Linked DNA regions of Pelodiscus sinensis. The protein of the gene in region 1 purifies or fractionates together with the protein of each later gene. This does not show direct contact. Links are inferred from orthologs where the notes say so. Each region holds a gene or a part of one and is shown in the gene's direction. Other genes may lie near its edges.

Region 1 (3,745 bases):
GTGTACACAGGGCTAAGTGTTGTTACTCAGCAACACTGCTTGGGCACTGCCAAAGGATGACGTGGAAGGTGACCGGGGATGGGTGGGGGGACTGGGGTTGGTGCCCTCTTAGGGTTCTTTGACCCGGGAAGAGAGGCCTAGAAGGTGTTGGTTTTCACATTATTCTGACTAGGGCTGGCCTTTAGGGCTAGACGAACTGGGACGGTGCCCAGGGCAGAGGGGGTGCAGAGAACTGGGCAGGGGCAGTGTGGTAGGACATGCTGGAAGGGCTGGGATGAAGCGGGCACTGTGCAGAGATTGAGGCAAAGAGGGCACAATGCAGGGGTTAGTGGGGAGAGGGGCACAGGATGGGGAGCCCGAGTGCCAGAGGAAATTGGCCCACAAGGGCACCATTTTCCCTGAAGCCGGCCCTGATTCTGACAGGCCTAATTCAGGCCCGGCCTCGCCTGTTTTTGCAGCGGGCTGGTGGGTTCTCTGGGCCCACAGCTTTACCTTTCCCCCAGAGAACAGGCGCTGGGCTTGCCCCAGGCTGGGAGCACTTGTGGGAGCTGGCAGCAGGCTGAGCACAGCCCTGGGGCTCAGGCTGCCCCAAGCCACGTGGGGAGAAGGCCCCAGACAGAGCCCATAACCCCGAGGGCACCTGATGGGCAGTGGCTCGGGTAAAACCCTTGTTCACGCCTGTTTCCAGGGGCAGGAAAAGCCCTTTTACCAAGGGGCGCAGGCCCCGGCCACTAGTGCGCCTCATCCGGGGGGGCGGGCACGGCACGCGCCCCAGTGGGGCCCCCCCGTGGGGACTGAACTTGTTGATCTCCCCCCCCGGGGAGGCAGCCGCCGCGCCCTTCGGGACTCATTGGCTGCAGCCCCGGGCCCCGCCTGCCGCCCCACCCCTCGCCGGGGAGGCTGAGTCTGCAGCGCAGGGAGCGCCCGGCCGCCGTGTGTCCAGCAGGGGAGCGCAGCGCGGACGGTGCGGACACCCCGACGGTGAGCGGAGCGAGCCGCGTTCTTGGGGGGTCGGGTCTCGGGGGGGGGGGATTGGAGGCAGGAGCCCCCCCCGTCCGCACCCCGCTTCCCCCCGGCCAGGGCGCAGCGGCAGGTCGGGCGCCCGCTTGGCTGCGCCGTCTGGCGTCGCTGCTCGCCCAGGCAGGCTCCGCGATGCCTCGCCGCCCAGCCCGGCTGCTGCCTCCCGGGGAGGTCCCAGCTGGGGTGCGTCCCCTCCGCCCCTCGCGGGATGTCGCTTGTTGCAGCTGGGGAGGGGAGGGGAGGGGAGGGACCTCCCCCCTGCTCTGTGACCGTCCTCCCCTCCCGTGTCTCCTATGGGGAAACTGAGGCACGGAGGCAGTAAGTGACTTGCCTGTGACAGGGTGAGCGTCAGGCCGGGCTTGGTCCATGGAAGTTGCCTCTCGACTAAGTGCGTGCGCGTATCTATATGTGGAAGGTTTTAGCGACAGGGCTGCGTCCACACACTTGTGCAGCTGGAAGTCGCTGCCCGTGAAGGCTGTTTGACTCCTCGCCCCCAGGAGCCTTTCGCTTTGCCAGCAGGAGAGCAGGGCCGGGGAGGGGGGTAAAGCGCCCACGGACGAGAATGCTTTGCCTTGCTTGGAACTGGAAGCATCTGTATTATCCTTAGGCCTGTGTGTGTGTCTAGTTCGGGGCTACTCAACTTTGGAAGCCGGGGGGGGGGGGGGGGGGGACCATAATGATATTCACAGCACATGAAGAGGGCCGCAACTTAAGATGTGGTTGCATATACATGCAAATATATATGCAACTATCTTCTTTCACGCCGACAGGCATGAATACAAAGAGTAAGGCAAGATTACCCAACACGCAGGCCCCATTGAAGTCAGTTCTGCTGATATTAATAAAATGCAATAGTTACCTGATTTCCATCCATACGAGAGCCCTTTTAATGAGCAATGGCAGTCCAGAAATTTAACTACTAAAACACATATCAACGGAAAACCATTATATTGACTCCTTTTTTGTTTTGGCTCCCACTCACGGGCTGTGTGTTGAGCCCTGCGTAAAGCCAAACTGCACGGTGGGCCCGATGTTGCGTATCCCTGGTCTAATAGCTGTGTGTCTGTGCCCCTCCCTGGGCGCTGTGTATTCCTAGCCCTGAGGTTGCCCAAGCCTGTTTCAGCTAGAGATGTGAATGAGTGACCGGTTACCTGGTAAGTCTCACCCAGTCCAGATCCCCCTGCCCTGCTTCTGCCCAGTGTGAGCCTGCTGATAGCTGGAAACCGGCAGCCCTCTCACACACATATCCTGTGCGAGGCTGCCAACTGGCTGGGAGCCAGCAGCTGCTGTGACAGGTAGAGGAGCCACTCCAGCCCAGCAGGCTGTGGAACAGCCCCGCCTCCCTCCCCGTTCAGTCAACCAATTCAACATAACGTTTAACTGGTTAACTAATTGAACAGGATTTTACCTCCCTAGCTTCAGCTGATGAGATTCAATAATATTATAATGGCTAATCCATTGAGTTCCTTAATCGGGTGTAGGGGGAGGTGTTGTTTCCTCTGAGGCTTCCTCTGTTGAATGTCTGAGCTGGTTTCTGCTGAATGCAACCGCGGCATTCCTGTTCCTCTCTGGAGGAGCAGGACTGAACATTTATATTCCTGTTTGGTTGTGCAACCTAGGGCTGTGGTTCTCATCTTTTTCCATACCTGGCTCCCTCTTTCCACACGGCAATCCTCTCGTCTGGCTGGGATCCCTGCCAGCAGAGTGCTCTCTCCTCTTTCCCCCTCTCCCCCGCCCCATCCAAGCTGAGAATTCAGGTCCTAAGACCCAGACCAGAAACGAATGTGTATGTCCTAACGCTGAAGACCTCTGCTCGTGTAGCTCCAAAGAGGGTAGACGTAAGCACGCGAGCTGAGAATTTACAAGGTTCTTAAATCAGTATTAACGTGCCCACATTGCAGGGACCTTATGCTACGTAGCAGCTTAGACAGTGATAAACCCTGAACGCCAGGAACTCTGATCACCCCTCTTCCTGGCATTCCTGTGTTCACCACAGCAGGGGGTTTCAAACCGTTTATCTCGTGACCCAGTTGAAGAAAATTCTTGTTGTCCGCGACCCAACAGAGAGAGTGCGGGCTCTGGGACGGGGCTGAGGGGGAGAACTTAGCTTTGGGGATGTCAGGGCTGGGGCAGGAGGGGCTGACCTCCAACAGCTCCGAGTCAGCAGTGCAGCAGGGGGCGCTAAGGCAGCTTCCTGCCTCTCCTGGCACCGCAGACCAGGTTCCCAGCTACTGGGAGTGCAGGGTTAACGCTCAGGATGGGGGCAGTGCAGAGCTCTCTTCCTCCCCTCTCCCCAACATAGGAGCCAGAGAGCTTCTGGGGCACAGCACAGTCTTAGCGCCCCTACTGCTCACCGGATCCCCCTGCAGCAGCGAGACCCAGCGCCCGACACTTCACCGCCCAGTTCTGGGGTGTGACCTGCCGGTGGAAAACCACGGCGCTACTGCCTGGCCGCTCTAGTAACCGAGAGTTTTGTCTTGTATTCTCTTGCCTAAAAATGGAGGCAGGCAGGCAGTGGGGTTGTGCAAGTGAGTATTGCACAACTCTGCAGGCTTTAAAATCTTAAAGCTGCTGTAAATCAGCGTCGCTGCCTCCGCTCCAGCGGAGCTGCGCGGACTTGTGCCGACGAAAGATCTGGCCCTAAGCATGCAGAGACAAGTTAGGGATGCCAGGGGCAGTCAGTACAGCTGAGGCTGGGGGAGGCAGGCCCCCTTCCCTGCTCCCC
Region 2 (3,745 bases), on another chromosome or scaffold:
ATTCGGGATGGAGGGGCATGGCAGACCTGTGGGGAGGGGGATCCCAGGGGACTGTGGGTCGGGATGGAGGGGCAATCGGGAGGCTGGTGGTGGGGTCGGGGCCTCGCTGACCCCGGCTAGGGCCCTGCCGAGAGAGGATTGCAGGCGGCATCATCCCCTGGCACGCCACAGGCAGGGGCTCAGCTCGGGGGTCAGCCTGTGGAGAAGGAAAATGGGGTGTCCCCTCCACCCTGCACATTGGGGGGGTGTTAAACATCTTGCAGGCTGGGGGCAGGAAGCCAGGGTGACCCCCGCTTCCCTTCCCCGCCACACACTCTGCACCCCCCGAGTGGCACCCTTGCACCTTCCTGAGTGGGCGTCACATTTACCCTTCTAATGCCCCAGCCCTGCATTTCCCCTCCCGTGTGCCCCAAATGCCCCATCGCGTTTGCACCTTCCCTATGCACTCTGACCCCCAATGCCCCTCCCCCACAAATGCCCCTCCCCCATGCACCCTGACCCCCAAAGCCCCTCCCCCACAAATGCCCCTCCCTCATGCACCTTTACCCCAATGCCCCTCCCCCACAATTGCCCCTCCCCATGCACCCTGAACCCCAATGCCCCTCCCCCACAAATGCCCCTCCCCCATGCACCCTGAACCCCAATGCCCCTCCCCCACAAATGCCCCTCCCCCATGCACCCTGAACCCCAATGCCTCTCCCCAACAATTGCCCCTCCCCCATGCACCCTGACCCCCAATGCCCCTCCCCCACAAATGCCCCTCCCCCATGCACCCTGACCCCAATGCCCCTCCCCCACAAATGCCCCTCCCCCATGCACCCCGATCCCCAATACCCCTCCCCCATGCACCCTGACCCCCAATGCCCCTCCCCCACAAATGCCCCTCCCCCATGCACCCTGACTCCCAATGCCCCTCCCTCACAAATGCCCCTCCCCCATGCATCCTGACCCCCAATGCCCCTCCCCCACAAATGCCCCTCCCCCATGCACCCTGACCCCCAATGCCCCTCCCTCACAAATGCCCCTCCCCCATGCATCCTGACCCCCAATGCCCCTCCCCCACAAATGCCCCTCCCCCATGCATCCTGACCCCCAATGCCCCTCCCCCACAAATGCCCCTCCCCCATGCATCCTGACCCCCAATGCCCCTCCCCCACAAATGCCCCTCCCCCATGCACCCTGACCCCCAATGCCCCTCCCCCACAAATGCCCCTCCCCCATGCATCCTGACCCCCAATGCCCCTCCCCCACAAATGCCCCTCCCCCATGCATCCTGACCCCCAATGCCCCTCCCCCACAAATGCCCCTCCCCCATGCACCCTGACCCCCAATGCCCCTCCCCCACAAATGCCCCTCCCCCATGCATCCTGACCCCCAATGCCCCTCCCCCACAAATGCCCTTTCCCCTCCCCCATGCACATTGACCCCCCCCATCATTGCCCCTCCCCCACATTTTCCTTTGCCCCCCGCAGCCCGCCCCTCCCGTCTGAAAAACTACGACTCCCAGCATGCCGTGTCCTAGCCCCAGCGTGACCTCTGACCCCGCTCTTCTATCCTCCCCCCCCACCGTCAACAACGAGCTCGAGCTCAACAACAGCCCTAGCGGCTCGGCCGTGCGCATGCGCCGGGAAGCGCGCCGGGAGGGGGGGACCCAGCTCGCGCATTCCCCTTTCCCTGGAGCCGGCAGCAGCTGCAGCGCCGGCGCGCGGGGACCCCGCTGGAACGCTGCGGAGCAGCCGCCGGCGCGCGCCCGAGGTAAGCCGCTAACGGTCCCCAACGGCCGCCCGCGGCTTTTCCCGCGCTTTCCGAGGGGAGGGGGCGCCGCGGCGCTGGGCAGGGGGGCTGCTGCGCACGCGCAGTGCGACCCACCTCCCCCGCGCAAGTGGGCAGCATAGGGCACCTCCCCCGCCTCACACCCACGGGGGGGGGGTCTTGCACATCCCTTGCACCATTGTCCCACCCACTGGGGGGGTTGCACGCCCCTTGCACCATTGGCCTGGTGACAGACTCTCGTGCTCCCTGTAGCACCATTATGGGGCTCTCGCACGCTCCGTGCACCATCAGTTTCGCATACGTGGTTTGCAGGCACCATTGCTGTCTTGCACGCTCCTTGCACCAGTGAGCAGCAAGGGGCAGCTCTTGCACGCCCCTTGCACAGTCACTTCCTCATAGCAGAGTCCTATGCCACCCCCCTCGTGGGACTCTCGCACAGCCTTCGCACCAAATTACCTGTGCACGGGGGTCTTGCGTGCCCTTTTCACCGTTGCTTTCCCCGTATCTGGTTTGGGCATCCCTTTGCACTGTTGCTCCCTTGTAAGGCTTTCTCAGGCCTCCACAGCACGGGTGTTCACAGGGGCTTTATGTGCCTTACACCACTGATTTCCACCGCCCCCCTCCCGTTGCACACTCTGGCACTAGTTCACAGAGCCTTACCTGCTGATGGGGCTCTCACGCCCCTTCCAGTAGTGCACGACAGACCCACATCCCTTGCACTATTTTCCTCACAGAGCTCCTGCAGCATACCCTTGTCCTGGTGATTTAGTCACAAGAGTCGTACACATTCCTTGCACTATCATTCCTTCTCTTGAGGGGTTGCTCCTCACTAGGATTTTGTGTACCCATCACAGTTTTCCACCATTATCCCTCTCCTGCTGTGGCTTTGCACTCTCTTGTACCCTAGGCACATTGGTGATATGCATGCACTTTCACAATTCTGTCCCCTCTATGGGGACCATATGGAGCCTTCACGTGTTCTCATGTGGGATTTCCTCATGCTCGCACGACTGCGTGCTTTCATGTGAGTTTCACTAGGACCCTAAAGGGAGTTTGTGTATCCTGGCCCTGGGATCCTCTGGAGCAGCCATATTCCCTTGCTCTGCTGAGCATGCTTGCACTACTGACATTTAATAGTTACCTTCTCACCCCAGGACCCTGATGAAAAATTGCACATTTTTGGAATACTCGTGCATCATAATTGTTCCTGGACCTCACGGATTAGTTGCATATGTCTTTGCACCAGAATTTTGTTCAATAATCCTCTCTTTGCACTAGGATATTCCACCTCCTTGTACCAGAGCTGTTTGGAATAGCTGTCACCCTGCACCAGGATCCTTGCACTGTTGCACCAGGTTCACGTGGGGTGTTCGCAACCGGGGCTCTTTGGGATACTTGCTGTCCTTGCACGTTACGTCATTCACCAGTGGGTAATTCTCCATCTCGCACCTGGATCTCTTGGTCTCTCCTTCCTCCAGTGTTGCACTAGGACCGTGTGACATTCTATTGCCGCCTTGCACTGTCACATTTCCGTAACCCACAGACCCCCTTCCTCGAACCGCCTTCCCAGCAGGATACAAACTGTTGCTTGTCTCGGGACACGTGAAACATTCTCCTCCGGGCCCACGGATCCTGCCGTGCACTTCTCCGAGGATTGCCTGCATGCAAACAGCCTCCAGCAAACAAATCATTAACTAAACCAGACAGCCGTGAAATATTTGCCCGGTAAACCATGGGTCAGCTCCGGTGCTCCACCTTTAGCCACACCTGCGGAAAACTCACCTGATACCGACCAGGTGTCTGGGCACCACCTTGCACCAGACCGCGAAGGCGCCACGCTCGATATGAATCCACTCAGTGACGGCACCTGCTGTTACCCTCCTAAATTATCGTTTCCCTTTTTATTTGTTGTTGTTTCTGGATGATTAGAGTTTAAAGCTACCAGGAAGTCGTTCGATTGCTCCGCGCCCGC
Region 3 (3,745 bases), on another chromosome or scaffold:
TAAGGGGCCCTTCTGGGGCAGGCCAAGGGGGAAAAGGCGGCGTGGTCAGAATGCTATTGGCTGTTTCTTGGGGTCAGAGAGAGGCCTGGGGAGCAGAGTGAAGTTGGAGCAGGCTGGTGGCTGCTCTGAGCTGTGCCGGGGGCTGTGCTGACCTGCAGGTCGGCCCAAACTGGAGGAGTGCAAAGCAGGCAGAAGGCACCTTTGCCTGAACAATCCTGAAGGCCCCACTCCGGACTCGAGTTTTGCATGGCCTCTTGTCGGAGTGAGGGAGCCTAGGCCAGGGCACCAGGCTTTGACCTCGAGAGCTGGAGCCCAGGCTCACCTTACTGGGAGGCTTGGGGTAGAGGCGGGGGCGTCTTGGCTGCTGCTTGGGTAGCTGCTGTCTTTGGTCGACAACAGTTGCCAGCCTTCCTGGGAAGGGAGGAGGTGGCGGTAGGGCTGGAGAAGCTGGGCAGAAGTGGCAGGACCCCTCCTGGGTGCTTCAGTGGAATCAAGTGCGCTACCTTCGTCTCCGAGCCTGGGCGGGGGACCCCTCAAAGCTGGGACAGTCCATCCAGTTGGGACATTGTGTCTTGGATCTGTTGGAGGAGGATGGCTGCGAGAGACGTCTGCTCCTCTGGTCATCCCATCCGCCCGGCCTGCCCCGCTCTGGAGCGCAGCCCCGGCGTTGAAGTGAAACAGGCGGGGCTGGGCAGGCAGGACACGGCGCTGGGGTGGGTGGGGCTGCCTGTGGGGGGGGGCTGGCCTCTGAGCACCCTCGGCGCCTGCTGCGGAATGCAGACCTCGCTTTACTTCCTGGTCCCTGCCTCCCTCCCTGCTCCTGTGTTTTGAAATGTGCATGTCTCATGTTCCCAGGCTGAGGCAGGCAGCCCTGCTCCGCACAAGCCTCCTCTTCCCCTGGAGAGAGCAAGTTTACTTAAGGCCAAGCAGAGGGCTGCTCGGAGCCATGGGGGCGGAGGGCCGGGGCTGGGCTGGGCCGGCTTTCCTGTGCTTCTGGGAGTTTCTTCAGATTAAATTGTTCAGCCGCTTGATCTCTCAGCCGCTTGGATTCAGCGCAAGGGAGGACGAACAACCAGCTGGGGGCCGCTGTCCCAGCCAGAGTCTGCTGCAGGTGTTGCTTCGCTTCGACTTTCTGGGGAGGGTCGGCCGAGCGGATCCAGGTCCAAAGGGGAGGTTGCCCCGATTGACCTTGGTCAGACAGCTCCAGAGTCACCAGCAAAGAGCGCAGGAGATGGGGATCCAGCCAGCAAGGGCTGAGCAGCCCTGCTCGCAAAGCGCTGGCTGGCTGGCCGGCCCGCCTCCCGCCAGCATCCCTGGGGGCCTTTAGCTGCACCGTGCCATGGAGACGCTAAGGGAGTCTGTTCTCCATTTGACGTTTCAGATGTCCACCTACAAGCGGGCGACGCTGGACGAGGAAGACCTGGTGGACTCCATCGGGGAGGGAGACGTTTACCCGAATGGAATCCAGGTAGGAGAGCCAGTCTGTGCCACTGCGCTTTGCAAGCAATGTGACTGTATGGTCATTGCAGACACAGCCACCCCTCCCCCAGGGCTGTCCTGCCACCGGACAGCGAGCAAGGGGCGTGTCTAGGGCGCCGGCGCCTTGCTGAGGGGAAGGAACGATGCAGGGGGTCAGAATGGGCCCCTGTGCCCTCCTCTGCCTTGTGACCCTTCATGCTGCCCCCCGGACTGGGTGCCTCTCTCTGGGTTGCCTCCTGACTGCATGCACCTGGCCTGCTCCCGGGGCCGCCGCCCAAGTAGGGAAAAGGGCCTTCCTGTTTACTCCTGGCTGAGGGTGTGCCTCTTGCTATGCAGACACCTGGCCAGGTAAGGGAGAGCTTGGCTCCGAGGCAGCGGGCAGGGACGCTGAGCCCGGGCACAGTCTGACTGACTTTCAACGGGCAGTTTTTGCTTTTGGGATTTGCCCTGGAAAATGGTCTCTTGAATTCTCCGTCCCACGCCGGCACCTCCGGCCCAGCCGTGCTGGCCCAGGGCCGAGTCTCTCGGCAGCCGGGAGCCTGAGAGATAGTGACTTCAGCACAAAGGCGTGGGGCTGACTCCAGCCTGGGTGTGACTCCACCGTATCTGTGGTGTTCCAAAGGGCGCTGCCCTGCCAGGTGCCCCAGGGAAAAGCCGGGAGAGGCTGCGCCAGAGAGGTGACGAGGTGAGAACTAGAAACCCTCATGAGTCGGCCCCTCTCCTAGGGCCCACACTGGGACCCGACCGGCGCCTGGTGCAGAGCAAAGCCTGCTCCGGGGAGAACTGAGTGTTTGTCGTGCTGCTTGCCCTCCAGCGCGCTTCCACCCACCCGCCGCGACTCCAAGCCATCTGCCCCGGCCCGCTTAGTCCCACAGGAAATCCTGTCTGCAAGCGCCGAGGCAGGAAGGAGATTTCTGAGGCAGGAGGCTCCCTCACTGCCCAGACAAGGCATCATAGTATCCAGGGGCTGGAAGCAGCAGCCAGCATAGCTCAGACTGAAATCCGATGAAGTTTTGTAACAGTGAAGGCAATTGGCCATCAGCACAGCTCGCCAAGGGATGCCATCCATTCCCGTCCCTTGGTGACGTGGGCTCCTGCTGGGATGTAGCCTCAGGCGTCACGGGTGAAGTTCTGCAGCCTGGGCTCTGCAGGTGTCAGACCGGACGATCCGATCGTTCCCTTTTGCCTGAAGAGCCCTGAGAGCAAGGCCTTGGTGCCTTGGCCTGGCACAGGCCAGCGGACCCTGCCTCCGTGTGTGTCTGCGAGCCCAGGCCGGTCTCCCTTTCAGCTGCACTGCGATGCAGCCCTCGCAGACTTTCCTGCTCCCTTGAAATCAGCGGAGATTGGCCGCCACACATCCAGCTCTGGGATTTGCAAGCAAACCCCTCTCGTGTCTGCCTTGTGCTCCCTGGACTGGGCCCGCTGGGATCTTGCTGAGTACACGGTACGCGCCACTGTCGCTCCAAGCCCTGAATCTCCCGGTCTGAGCTGAGCGGCATGGGGCGCATACATGGCCCTGGGAGACGCCGGGGGAGCTTTGTGAGTCCAGAGGGTCCAGATGCTGTTGGGGATTCGGTGTGCAGGGCTCTGTATCAGCCATCAGCTGCTGCTGCAGGGGATGCTGGGAGACCAGTTCGGCTGACCCTGGCCAGCTGTGGCTCTGCCGCGGGGCTTTTATTGCGGTGTAGACATGCTCTGGGATCCCTCTCACTTCTTCTGCTCTTCGGTAGCATGTCTCATCCCAAAGCATTTTGCAGCCTGCCTAACGCAGTCCTGCTCCTGCTCAAATCCAGGGCAAAATTCCCTGCGCGCTTTTCCATCCACACAGCGTGGAAATGTCTTTGTGCAACGCACGGCAGCCTCTGGAGCGGACGCACGGTCCTCATGCTTGGCATAGTGTTACTCAGAACAGGAAGCAAAGTATTCTGTGTCCCACGGACACTTCCCGGGGGCGTTGCAGCTGCCAGAAAGTTACTGGCATTCGACACATACAGCAAAAAGGGGGGAACATGTTGCAGCGCTAAGCGCCGCCATCTTGGATTTCTCCCCACAGCCCTTCCGTGACTTTGTTATTCAGGCGGAGCAGGGCCAGGCTGGGCAGCGTCGATTTCTCCATCCGCGCTGGCTGAGCTCCAGTGCGTCCCTATAACGCCTCAGTCGTAAACAACGGTCTGCAAATGGGCAGGAGACGGGGTTCATTGGAAGCGTTTTGCCAGCTAATGGTCCGGGCTGGTAACGTCCCCTTTGGAATGGGGCCATGGTGCCA

The links. The genes of interacting proteins can lie anywhere in the genome.
Region 2: the proteins of LGALS3 (region 1) and SLC12A6 purify together in Homo sapiens (affinity purification with mass spectrometry; 3 studies listed by BioGRID and IntAct, counting the BioPlex papers as one, with this or other methods). This does not show direct contact. The link is inferred for Pelodiscus sinensis from reciprocal best matches to the Homo sapiens genes LGALS3 and SLC12A6.
Region 3: the proteins of LGALS3 (region 1) and ECE1 purify together in Homo sapiens (affinity purification with mass spectrometry; 3 studies listed by BioGRID and IntAct, counting the BioPlex papers as one, with this or other methods). This does not show direct contact. The link is inferred for Pelodiscus sinensis from reciprocal best matches to the Homo sapiens genes LGALS3 and ECE1.

The regions. Positions count from the first base shown.
Region 1 is NC_134714.1:9,299,771-9,303,515, forward strand, and holds the start of LGALS3 (galectin-3), read left to right. Parts: upstream 1-851; 5' UTR 852-981; intron 982-3,745. UniProt on the Homo sapiens protein: Galactose-specific lectin which binds IgE. May mediate with the alpha-3, beta-1 integrin the stimulation by CSPG4 of endothelial cells migration.
Region 2 is NC_134740.1:2,568,140-2,571,884, reverse strand, and holds the start of SLC12A6 (solute carrier family 12 member 6), read left to right. Parts: upstream 1-1,597; 5' UTR 1,598-1,755; intron 1,756-3,051; 5' UTR 3,052-3,745.
Region 3 is NC_134733.1:3,692,051-3,695,795, reverse strand, and holds the start of ECE1 (endothelin-converting enzyme 1), read left to right. Parts: upstream 1-835; 5' UTR 836-838; coding exon 839-1,111; intron 1,112-1,381; coding exon 1,382-1,468; intron 1,469-3,745. UniProt on the Homo sapiens protein: Converts big endothelin-1 to endothelin-1.